Linked DNA regions of Oryzias latipes. The protein of the gene in region 1 binds, or shares a complex with, the protein of each later gene. Links are inferred from orthologs where the notes say so. Each region holds a gene or a part of one and is shown in the gene's direction. Other genes may lie near its edges. The genes, in order: cpsf2, cpsf4 and cpsf3.

The links.
Region 2: cpsf2 (region 1) and cpsf4 share a complex: the UniProt entries of both Homo sapiens proteins name them as parts of the cleavage and polyadenylation specificity factor (CPSF) complex. The link is inferred for Oryzias latipes from reciprocal best matches to the Homo sapiens genes CPSF2 and CPSF4.
Region 3: cpsf2 (region 1) and cpsf3 share a complex: the UniProt entries of both Homo sapiens proteins name them as parts of the cleavage and polyadenylation specificity factor (CPSF) complex. The link is inferred for Oryzias latipes from reciprocal best matches to the Homo sapiens genes CPSF2 and CPSF3.

What each region holds. Positions count from the first base shown.
Region 1 is NC_019882.2:5,327,523-5,331,658, forward strand, and holds the start of cpsf2 (cleavage and polyadenylation specificity factor subunit 2), read left to right. Parts: upstream 1-1,201; 5' UTR 1,202-1,361; intron 1,362-1,725; 5' UTR 1,726-1,743; coding exon 1,744-1,892; intron 1,893-3,409; coding exon 3,410-3,569; intron 3,570-3,682; coding exon 3,683-3,788; intron 3,789-3,872; coding exon 3,873-4,002; intron 4,003-4,072; coding exon 4,073-4,136. UniProt on the Homo sapiens protein: Component of the cleavage and polyadenylation specificity factor (CPSF) complex that play a key role in pre-mRNA 3'-end formation, recognizing the AAUAAA signal sequence and interacting with poly(A) polymerase and other factors to bring about cleavage and poly(A) addition.
Region 2 is NC_019866.2:19,283,251-19,287,677, reverse strand, and holds the start of cpsf4 (cleavage and polyadenylation specificity factor subunit 4), read left to right. Parts: upstream 1-1,543; 5' UTR 1,544-1,858; coding exon 1,859-1,961; intron 1,962-2,118; coding exon 2,119-2,169; intron 2,170-3,165; coding exon 3,166-3,318; intron 3,319-3,405; coding exon 3,406-3,501; intron 3,502-4,319; coding exon 4,320-4,413; intron 4,414-4,427. Other genes in the region: shmt1 (serine hydroxymethyltransferase, cytosolic), read left to right, coding at 1-122. UniProt on the Homo sapiens protein: Component of the cleavage and polyadenylation specificity factor (CPSF) complex that play a key role in pre-mRNA 3'-end formation, recognizing the AAUAAA signal sequence and interacting with poly(A) polymerase and other factors to bring about cleavage and poly(A) addition.
Region 3 is NC_019882.2:22,750,298-22,753,663, reverse strand, and holds part of cpsf3 (cleavage and polyadenylation specificity factor subunit 3), read left to right. Parts: intron 1-121; coding exon 122-299; intron 300-373; coding exon 374-463; intron 464-1,187; coding exon 1,188-1,338; intron 1,339-1,424; coding exon 1,425-1,600; intron 1,601-2,310; coding exon 2,311-2,469; intron 2,470-2,829; coding exon 2,830-2,976; intron 2,977-3,366. UniProt on the Homo sapiens protein: Component of the cleavage and polyadenylation specificity factor (CPSF) complex that plays a key role in pre-mRNA 3'-end formation, recognizing the AAUAAA signal sequence and interacting with poly(A) polymerase and other factors to bring about cleavage and poly(A) addition.

The sequences.
Region 1 (4,136 bases):
GAACAAATAAATGTACCCAGTATCGGCGGGCTGCAGGATTCACCATGGCTCCCTAAAAGAATAAAACAAAAAATTATATTTACACACATTTAAAGTTGAGATGGAGGATTTGATGTCAATTAAACTGCAGTAATGACACTTATTTGGCTTTGAAATTAAGAATAAAGTAAATTTGGGCAGATTAGAAGACACAATAAAATCTAACATAACCGAGGGTGATAGCAACATGGATTTCCAATAAACAGTTTTAAAAACCCATAAAAGTATATTTTTAAATTCTATTGTCAACAAAAATTGTTGTATACATCAAATTGTTTCAAGCAACCAAAAACAAATAGGACTTGATATTTTTGGACCTCTGATGTTAAGCTGTTTATGCACCAGCTACTAGTAGATCAGGTCACGAACAACTGAAACCGTTGTTCTTTAATGTTGGTTTGCTGAAATGCAGCACTCCCAGTTGCATTCATCATTTAGTTCGTTTAAACTGTGTTTTGCTATCATTCATTCTCCTTCAAGCTACAAAAGTATGTAATCTCTGTAAAGGACGTTGAATGGCTTCCATATTTTGGAAAGAAAAAAAAAGGTTACACAAAGTAATGCTGCCTTCCTTTGACAAGTTTATCCATTTAATTTTAAGCTAACTTGACTCTTATAACACCAATAAGAACGAAAGAAGTGTTACAAACGGCAAAAAAAATAAGCCACCTCAGAGTTAAAAAAAATGGCTAAAAACAATAAATAATACTAACAAACATTGGTTAGGGATCAATTAGTTACAGTGCTGTGTAGCAGTTAGCAAATTTAGCAGCAAACATTTTATTTTGTTAGAAGAATGATTGTAATTGCTTATTTATTTACCCAAAATGTAACACAGCATTAAACAAAACAATATATTGAAAAAAACAATAATGTAATGACCATTGTAAAAAATATTACCTTATTTTTGTATCAACCAGCGGCCTTTAGCTACCGACTCGCCAAGCGAAGGACATCGGACTCTACCAATTGAGTGTCAACGACGCGGATCAGCGCGTGAAAGCCAACTTGCAAAGCTAATACATGACAAAAAGGGAAAGTTACATACTGTAGAATAATAGAATAGAATTATAATATTATACCGCATCTTTTAAAAACTACACATTTTGGCGTTGTTTTGGTGCAATTTATATTGTGGCAACACCCCTATTAGTGGTACATTCATTTGACCTGTGTCACGTGATGCTGGCGCAAAAATGTCTACCACATTAATGTTTTGTAGACAGTAGCTACTAAAGAAAATGCTTTAACTTGGGAATTGTAGTCGGTTAATTTACTTTGTTTTCTCAGGAAGGATAACTAATTCAAACCCACTTTAAATGGTATGACACACAATGAAACTGCAGTGAACAACCAGTAACGTTAACATGCTAAAAGGACTTGCCGGGTAACTAGCTAACGACCGTGCTAACTTTAGCTAACAACCACATTGTTTTGTTTTATTTATTATTTGTGTTTTTACCAAAGTCTCTTATCGGTTCCATTAATTTGTGGGATTTTAATTACGCATCTTGTGTTTAATTCCCGCCACACTAAACTTCCTTTAAATTTATAACACCTATTATATACCGTGTTTGTTGATCCTAATATTAGTTGTAATTAACGTAAACGGGTTTTTTGTACAAGCTTGTTTTAATCAAAGGTCGGTGGAAGGGCACTGTGCTAATCTTTTTTTATTTTTCACAGCGTTTATAGTGAAGAAAAATGACCTCGATTATAAAGCTGACGGCCGTGTCAGGGGTTCAGGAGGAGTCCGCCCTCTGTTATCTCCTGCAGGTGGATGAATTTCGCATCCTCTTGGACTGTGGATGGGACGAACATTTTTCAATGGACATCATTGATGCCATGAAGCGGTGAGTTTGATAGTAAATAAGAACTTTACACCCATGCATATACTTCAGAGTCTCTTGAGGGAGCTGAAGATCTTCCACCTTCCTTTGAGGCTGTTGTTGAACTTCTAAACCACCTCATCAAATCCATTCTCACCTGCTGTACCAGAGCATCTCCTCTTGGACCATTAAGCCTCAACCCCCTTTCTGGAAAAAAGTTTGAATCTGTTTGTGTTTTTTGTTTGTTTGTTTTTCTCTTAGGCTGTATTCTGGATTTTGCAGCTGACATTTCAATTTCTAGTATTGTCAAATGTTTACTGTGCCTCAAAACAGATTTGATTCTGATAATAGGTCATGCAAAATGTATATAAAGATATAAACACAGTCTGATCGTTCATTGTGATGTCGTTCGGGAAGATCTGACAGTACTTAAGCACATTTGAGCGGATAAATCCACATCACGTTGTAAACATTTGGATTGTGTATTTGGAAATAGTTCATTTTAATCAAAATCAAACTAACGAAGAGAAACAACAGAAATATAGATCTATACGTAGATATATCTAACTTAGCATAATGAGATTGTATGAGGGTGTGGTGGTGCCTGCAGCGTTATATGGGGCTGAAACATGAAGTCTGAAAGTGGTGGAAAAGAGGAAGCTGAATGTAGTTGAGATGAGATGTTTGAGGAGTATGTGTGGGGTGACACGTATGGATCGTGTGAGAAATGAAGTAATCCGAGAAAGAACTGGTGTGATGCGAGAGTTGGCTTATAGATCAGAGCAAAAGGCACTGGGATGGTTTGGACATGTTGAAAGAATGGGAAGGGAGCGATTGGTGAAAAAGGTGTACGAATCTGATGTGAGTGGAGTGAGAATGAGAGGAAGACCGCGAATGGGATGGACAGAGGGTGTAAAAAGAGCGATGAATGCAAGAGGGATGACTGTGGTGCAGGGGAGAGAGGCTGCTCAGGACAGGGATGGGTGGAGAGAGTTTGTGTATGAATGAATGGATGGGCGTGGTAGAGGTCTGGTCTTGGGATGAAGCGGCAAGGGGAAACTAGCCTTGGCTGAGGCCCTGCTGTGGAGGTGCCTACACTGGGCTGTGCAGCTGACCCTGGTGCAGTGTGGTGTGGCTTAAACCAGTCACATACCCACACACACACGTGCACACACGCACACACTGAAGGAGGAGGGTTTGTGGAAGAGAAGGAGGGCGGTAAGAATGGATACCCTGTCTAGGCTACCCCACTTTGGTGGGACACAGCCTGGGTAGATAGATAGATAGATAGATAGATAGATAGATAGATAGATAGATAGATAGATAGATAGATAGATAGATAGATAGATAGGATAATTAGTCATGAATTGATTGGAAAATATATATACATACGCATATACATCCGAATACACGTCTATAATGAAATAATTGCTACTAATCATGGACTTATTAGCTGATGATATATTTTTTTGTGAGAGGCTTTTCTGATTATGTTGATATTTCTGTTATAAACCCATTGTTGTGTAATTTTCTGCCGGCAGCTATGTTCATCAGGTTGATGCAGTTCTTCTCTCACACCCTGACCCCATTCACCTCGGAGCCCTCCCTTATGCCGTGGGCAAATTGGGCCTCAACTGTACCATCTATGCCACAATTCCTGTCTACAAGATGGGTCAGATGTTCATGTATGATCTGTATCAGGTAAAGCAGGAGAGGGACTTTTAGAATTGGCTAATGGATAAAAGATGAGGTCATTTATAGGCCTGAAATTTCTGCTTTTTTTTTGTAAATGTTTTCTGCTTTTTACCATTTAGTCTCGAAACAACAGTGAAGACTTCACACTTTTCACCCTGGATGATGTCGACAGCGCTTTTGACAAAATCCAGCAGTTAAAATACTCTCAGATTGTCAATTTGAAAGGTGAGTTTCCGTTACTTTACTGCTCTAACTTGGCCATTCTAACAATGTGTGTATTTTTAATCAATCCGTTCCCTTGGTTTTTAGGAAAAGGCCATGGTCTTTCCATCACTCCTCTTCCAGCTGGACACATGATTGGAGGAACCATCTGGAAAATTGTCAAGGATGGAGAGGAGGAGATTGTATATGCTGTGGATTTCAACCACAAGAGAGAAATGTAAGTAACGTCAAAGCAAAATGTGATTGTAAGAAACGTTTGGATTCTCAGTGTCTTCTATCCGTCTTAGCCACCTCAACGGCTGCACGTTAGAAAGCATCAACCGACCGTCATTACTCATCACAGATTCCTTC
Region 2 (4,427 bases), on another chromosome or scaffold:
TGAAGGAGTTTGTCCAGGCTCTGGCTCAGGGAGAGAAGTTTCAGGAGCGAGTAGCTGCGCTGAGAGCCGAGGTGGAGGCTTTTGCCGGTCAGTTCCCCATGCCCGGCCTGCCGGAACTGTGAGGCCAGACGAGAGTTGGACTAACGTTTATTGTTTAAACACACCAGTCAATGGGTGTATTCTGACCTTAAAGCATTCCTCACTTGATAATTCAATAGAATTGTTTTTATTAAAGACACATTTAAGCTCAGTCCTGCAAATGTCATTGTGTCATGATTTAGTAATGTTACAGAGTCCTGATGTTTTACTTGGGATTCACATCTTTTAGATGTTACGATCAAAACTGACTGGAAATTCATGACTGGAATTTCGATTTTTAGTAAATTAAGTCCAAAAACATTCCATGAGTATGTGTAACTCATTCACTGTAATAAAAAGATTTCATGAAACCGCCAATGAATACTGTTTTTTCTTTGTCCTTTTAAAGACTAATACAATAAAATCTTCTTATTTTTATTGATATCTAAAGTTTTAGGTTATTTTGCCATATTCCTGATAACATCATTACTTCTGCTTTCTTTTGGTTTATTTTATAGCCTGAAACGTCTATATTCCTGTCAACATGACGTAAGTCTTGAAGCAACGGGCTTTTAACAAATAGCAAAATATCATTGGCATAAAGGGATCATTTATAAATAAACTCCTGTATGAATTTCTTGATGTATCATCTCTCTTAGAGGTTTGATACAAAAAAGGGTAGAGGGTAAGGTCTGACTCCCCTTTATTTTATTTTCTATTATTTAAAAAACTGTAATGTCCAATCATTTTTACTTTGATTTAGAGTTCTTGTACAGGCATCTAAACCAACAATTACATGTTTTTCCAAATTCGAACTAATAATCGAACTTGCAAAATGTCCAATCTATTTTGTCAAAAGCCTTTTCAGCATCTATGTATTGAAGTATTAAAGTATTGAATACTGTTTTTTTTTTCTTTTTCCACTGTAGAAAAACACAATAAAAGCTTAGAAAGCTTATTCTTGCTTAAACATGTCATATCATCATGCTTCCAATGATTATAAAATGCTGAACAATTACTCATTTCTGAAGCGTCGTGTTTCACCCTAAAACCAGCAGATCACAACGTTGTATTAGAGTCTCTTATGCAGTCAATGGATCAAATCATTTGGTTGATCATACCAGACTTTGAATGAGTGATTTTTTGTTTAGGAGAGGGGTTTGCAGTGATGAAGCATCAAAAGCATTTTGTATTCATGATCTGGTGTGTGACATGCTAATCTCTGAATTGAACTTTAACCTGTTTTTTGTTTATTTTTATAAATAATTGGACATGGAAATGCATACACGAGGTGCAAGTTAAGAAAAATGATCAGATGCACATACGTGTCCAATATGTCTAAACAATAAAATAGTAAAATAAATGAAATTTTCATTCGTTTTTGGTCATTTGCCAGAGGCAAAGTGTCAGAAATGAACAGGTTTGGTTAACTCAACGGTGACATCACTCGACTTGCTCGACAATCGTTTAGATCCGTCTGAATTCGTCAGGTCAGAGGTCAATGTGCGCGCGTCCTCAAACAGAACCTCTGTCGATTCGGAGACAAAAATATTAAGTCATGTTCACCTGTTTGTTTGGAAATAGTTGATATAAGGACTTCGGTGATCCTTACCTTATCTCATTGTTATCCTCTGCTCTTGTTGTTTCGCCTGGCTCGCCCCGTTAGCCACTTTAGCTGGCTAATGAGGGAATCGCCGGCTAACAGTTTCGACATTAAGCTATCTTAGCTTAAGTTAACCGAACAAGTCTTTGCTTTGAAAGCTACCAACTCAAGGCAAACATGCAGGAGCTACTAGCAAACGTGGATCACATCAAGTTCGACCTGGAGATCGCTGTGGAGCAGCAGCTGGGAGCGCAGCCTTTGCCGTTTCCCGGCATGGACAGTAAGTGCATGGATGCTAGCTTATGCTAATGCTAGCATCTTTTTTTGTTGAGAATAACCATAGTTTTTCTCAGGTTCGCCCTCTTTGGTTTCTGTTATTTTTAATAGAAACAACACGTTATAATTGTCAGTTCAGTTATAATGTTGTCTTTTTGCAGAGTCCGGCTCAGCTGTGTGCGAGTTCTTCATGAAGGGAACGTGTATGAAAGGTAAAGCATCTACAGTCAGAAGCATCTGTTGCGCTGCTATTATTATCTGCATTTAACAGTTTTAAATGTTCAGAAACGTTTTATTTGGAAGGAAACTGCAATGTTTACATGTTGTTGGTATCGTTTGTCATTTTAGTACGTTGTAGGCGGGAACCAGTTTACTATAACTTTTTTATTACAGAAATAATAAACCGCTGAAAAAAAGTTCTTTGATAAACTAAAGAGGTGGATACAACTATTTTTAAATATTTTTCTTTCATTTAAAATGGTTAATGGTGATTATTATTATTTCTTTCTGGATATGTTTGGTAAACTAAGTAAATTTAAACTTTTTTGTTTTCTTTGCAAAAGTTTGCTTTGAAATAATTATTCTTTAAAACCTTATTTGCATTCTATTGACAAACGCTAACTTGTAAAAAATGTTTAAAATAATTTTTAAACTTTATGAAATAACTCTTTAATAACCTTATTTCCTTTTTCTTAAATAATGAGCCAGAGCTTTAGTTACAAACTACTGCTGTTTGTAAAATCCTGATTTCATTTTTTTTTAATAGATGACTTACACTGATTAAGATTTTTACAGAATTTAGTTGGGACATTTGCCCGTTCGTGGCTTTCACTGTCGTGATGTTCAGTTTACCTTTTACAGCTCTATATTTCATTAACTTCTTGTGTTTTATTGTGATTTTCTGTATGTACTCAGTGTCACACTAAGGCAGACATGAGCAAAATACGGCTAAAAGGTCTGGATGTAATCATTTATGTAATCATTATTGTCTGGCCTTCTTACTTTTTATTTTGTCCTGTTTATGTGCACCCTAAAACCTGTTTTACATTTCTGGGGTTACAAAGAAGGCAGTTCTGCAGAGACTTTATTTTTAATCGTATGTCTATATTTGTGTGAGGTTTTGGTGGGTCACGCTTTCATATAAAAGTGAGGAAAACGATCCCTGCATGTGTCGTATGAATCCACAAAGCTGTGTCTGTGTCTCTCAGGTGGAATGTGTCCGTTCCGTCACATCAGCGGGGAGAAGACGGTGGTGTGTAAGCACTGGCTCAGAGGGCTCTGTAAGAAGGGAGACCAGTGCGAGTTTCTGCACGAATACGACATGACCAAGATGCCTGAATGCTATTTCTACTCAAAGTTTGGTGGGTTCACTTGACTTCCTCGTTTAAAACGCTTTCCATTGCTTAGCACGCAGGTCTGATAGATTCAAACTGTGTGTTGGCTCTCAGGTGAGTGCAGCAACAAGGAATGTCCCTTCCTGCACATCGATCCAGAGTCTAAGATCAAAGACTGTCCTTGGTACGACAGAGGCTTCTGCAAACACGGTAAGGTCCAGCCCAGTGTCAGGTTTTCGTGCTCTGGATTCGTTGTAACCCACATTTTTACCGTTTTTATTTTTTATTTGATTCGGAAAGAGGCTTTATTTTGAAAAATTTCTGAATTCTCCCCACCACATCTGACTCATTCTTGACACATAACAAATTGCTCAGTGACGTGCTGACAAAAACGCAAATGTTCCTGGAAAGTTTTTTTTGTTCATAGAGCATATTAAGTGAGGAAACAGAAGAAGAGCCTTTATCTTCAAAATACAAGAAATCTGCATTTGAACAGACAAAAACCAGGAGTCTTTACTGCAAATGTGGATTCATTGTGACAGTTGTTCCCACACGCCATAACAATGGGGCATCATATTCAGCAACCTGCTGTGTAATGTTACGAGGATGTTTGCAAATAACGTTGCTGAAATGGTTTATTAGTATGTTTAGAAAATACAATTTTTAGACACAATTATTTTTCATATTTATCTGTCCTTAAAAGTCAGACGAGGCTGAAGTTGGAATTCGATTTTTGTAGCTTCCACTTTGACAGTTATGGATTAACGGGCCTGTATCCTGCTTTTCTTAAGCCTTTCAGGGTGAACTATATCCATAGAAATACAAATATTTTACAGACGATGAAGATAAACTTGACCCTCAAAAGTTAAAGGGAAACTGAAGGCAAAGATAAAAAAAAGTTGGTCGTCCCTTTCAGTCTCATACAGACTGCTGTGTGAAAATATTGACTGTTCAATCAGACCGGGGCCTGAAAAAAGTTGGGAACCACTGATATAAGTAATCTTCATTTTGTTCTCCTTCCCCACTAGGTCCTGACTGCAGACACAGACACACCAGAAGAGTGATCTGTGTGAATTATCTGGTGGGCTTCTGTCCAGAAGGCAAATCCTGTAAATTTATGCAGTAAGTAAACATTT
Region 3 (3,366 bases), about 17 Mb from region 1:
TAGCACAAGGGTTAATGCAGCTACTTCAGGTTCTCTAGTGATGCCGTAGGACCTGTGGCTGATATTCTGGAGTTGGGGCACAGCTTGGGTTTTTTGTTCTGACCCGTCTGTGTGTCTGCAGTAACATTTCTGCTGATGAGATGCTCTACACGGAGACGGACCTGGAAGACAGCATGGAAAAGATTGAGACCATTAACTTCCACGAGGTAAAGGAGGTGGCTGGCATCAAGTTCTGGTGCTATCATGCTGGCCATGTGCTTGGAGCCGCTATGTTCATGATCGAGATCGCAGGAGTCAAGGTAGGTTTGTGTCTGGATCCGTCTTCCTAAAGCGGTTTGTCTCTGGTGCTCAGTGCTTGTCTGTGTCCCTGCAGTTGTTGTACACAGGAGACTTCTCCCGCCAAGAGGACAGACACTTGATGGCGGCGGAGATCCCAAGTGTGAAACCAGACATTCTCATCACAGTGAGTTTGGCTTTAAACCCCCCCCCCCGATGATCAGATATTTTTCCTCCCCTTAGTGACCAGCTCAGGCGCAGGCTCATGTCTCATGCTGTCTCATGTTCAGACATCAGTAGGGATGCAGTACTGAAACGGTATCGTTTGGTACCAGTGCCACGTCATCAGTTACTGGACTGATAGGTTTCAGCCATAATGGGATCAACGGTACCGGCCAAGTGGGGCAGCAGCGCCCACACAGCGTGCACTACTTTGTTTGAATGTGGCTGCTTTTCCTTTCCTGCTCCAGTACGACGGGGGGGGGCTGCTCATACTTTGTCCCTCATGTATTCCACTGCTAACAAGTGTGTAACGACAAACGCACAGTGATGGCAGAGCGACGCGAGCAAAGGGTCCAAAGTGCGGCTGGATTTTTCTAAAGTACATGCAGACAGCGCACGGCGTCTCAAATGTCACAAAAACGTTGCTTCTGAGGGCGGTTAGACCTGTGAGCTGTCCAAACACGCAGCCAAAAGACACCAGACTCTAGATGGAAAGTGCTCATGTTATTAATGCAAAAACACCGTAGGAGTTATTGAGAATTTTGTTTTACTCATTAAATGAATATACCGAGTTTTAATGAATTCTAAACTAAGAGCTTTTCGTCTCCATAGTCTGTTGGTCTGGTAGTATTGGGTCCTCTGTCCCGTCTCAGAATGGTGTTGAACAAATATCTGATCCTTTCTGTCAGGAATCCACCTATGGAACACACATCCATGAGAAGCGTGAGGAGAGAGAGGCCCGTTTCTGCAACACGGTGCACGACATTGTAAACAGGGAGGGTCGCTGTCTGATCCCCGTGTTTGCTCTGGGACGGGCTCAAGAGCTGCTGCTCATCCTGGGTGAGTGCACAGGCACAGATCATCACCTTCTGGTTCTGAAGCCTGTGATGATGGTGACGCAGAAACTGTTTGTGCCTGTGGTCCAGACGAGTACTGGCAGAACCACCCAGAGCTCCACGACATTCCCATCTACTACGCTTCGTCTCTGGCCCGGAAATGCATGGCTGTCTATCAAACCTACATCAACGCCATGAACGACAAGATCCGCAAAGCCATCAACGTCAACAACCCTTTTGTCTTCAAACACATCAGTAACCTGAAGGTGAGCACAGAACTGCAGCAGCAAAGACAAAGTCACACGCCAAAGCCACATTTCTGACATGTTCATGAAACTCAGAGCATCATTTAATGTGCACTTACTGAACTGATGGCATCACAAAGTTGTAAGTGAAGCGCTGTCCCAACCCCCCCACCCCTCACCAGACTGTCATGCTCTGTCATGGTGTTGCTCAGCCTGGGAGGAAGCTTCCTCCCAACAGTGTGGAATGTGTGACACTGAAGTGATGGAAGGAGAACAGCACAGGCGTCAGGAAGCATCGGCCTCTTCCAGGAGACATGAACACAGTGGAGGAGCTAACTCCAGCTGGAGAGTGGAGACATTGCTGCTCATGTGTGTTCTAGCACTCAACTTTTGACACTTTATTGCATTTTCCTGTTCTTCAGCCTAATGTGACTGGTTCATCTCACACCACTGGAGAACTTGCTGTTTCTCCCAGGATTTTGACATAAAATGTGGCATAAAAAGTCCAGGGAAAGACACTTTTATTTCAACAGAGGCAACATCGTGGTAATGATTTAAGCAGAAAGGGAAAAGTGACACAGTTCCCTCTTATTTAAATGTAGTTTCATTTGAAACAGCTTCAATGTTTGTAAAAGAGGTGGTTAAAGAACAAAAATTAATGACAAATGAAACCGTTAAAATAAGAGTTTCTGTTGAAGCCGCCTCCTGTATTAATGCTGTTGTGCTTTCAGAGCATGGATCACTTTGATGACATTGGCCCCAGCGTGGTCATGGCGTCCCCCGGGATGATGCAGAGCGGTCTGTCCCGGGAGCTGTTTGAGAGCTGGTGCACGGACAAGAGAAACGGTGTCATCATCGCTGGATACTGCGTTGAGGGAACGCTGGCCAAGGTGAACCTGCCAAGAATTGCTTAGCCAAAGCCCCCGTCACTGGGGGGAAACCCCCTCCATCTCTGCAGCGCTTTGAACCAGCTGGAATCCTGCTGACATGCAGCTGAAGGACTGTGGGTGGCAGTGTGTTGCCATGACAACACGGAACACATTAGGGTGAAGATCAGTCCAATTTGACTGAAACACTGTAGAAAACCTGTCAAAAGTAGAACTGATGCTGGTGGAGGAAGCATCGCTGGTCTGTTTGCCCTTCGTCTCTCAGAAGGTTCAGAGACTTGAAGTGAAAACAGAGTCCAGCTCACATTTCCACAGAGAAACGTGCTTCACATTTCTGCCCCTGCTCTGATCCTGCTGTTGCAGCACATCATGACGGAGCCTGACGAGATCACCACCATGTCGGGCCAGAAGCTCCCTCTGAAGATGTCTGTGGACTACATCTCCTTCTCTGCTCACACAGACTACCAGCAGACAAGCGAGTTCATCCGAGCACTCAAGCCTCCCCATGTGGTAATCACTCACACACCTGCAGATCAAGCCCAGATCCATCCTATCAAAGCAGCCGTGCACGCCGAGTCAGCCACATTGAAGTTGAATAAAGTGACTTTGGTGCAAAATGCCAGGCCTGGACTAGTATATCTGTGTTCTACATGTCCTGCACTGTCACCTTTTAGCATGTTGTTTTTGAAGGATTATATTATTCTAGTCACTTTGGTATGTGAGGTCTTCTTTAGCATCTCTGACAGACGGCTCAAACTCACATCCAGGACTGAAGTGTCTGCCTGAACATCAATCCCAAACATTTCATTCTGACTTTATTGCACACATTTAAGTCACATACACTGTGGCTGGAGGTGCATTCAGGAGCTGCATGGAATTTCTGCACTTCAGGTCTGCTGG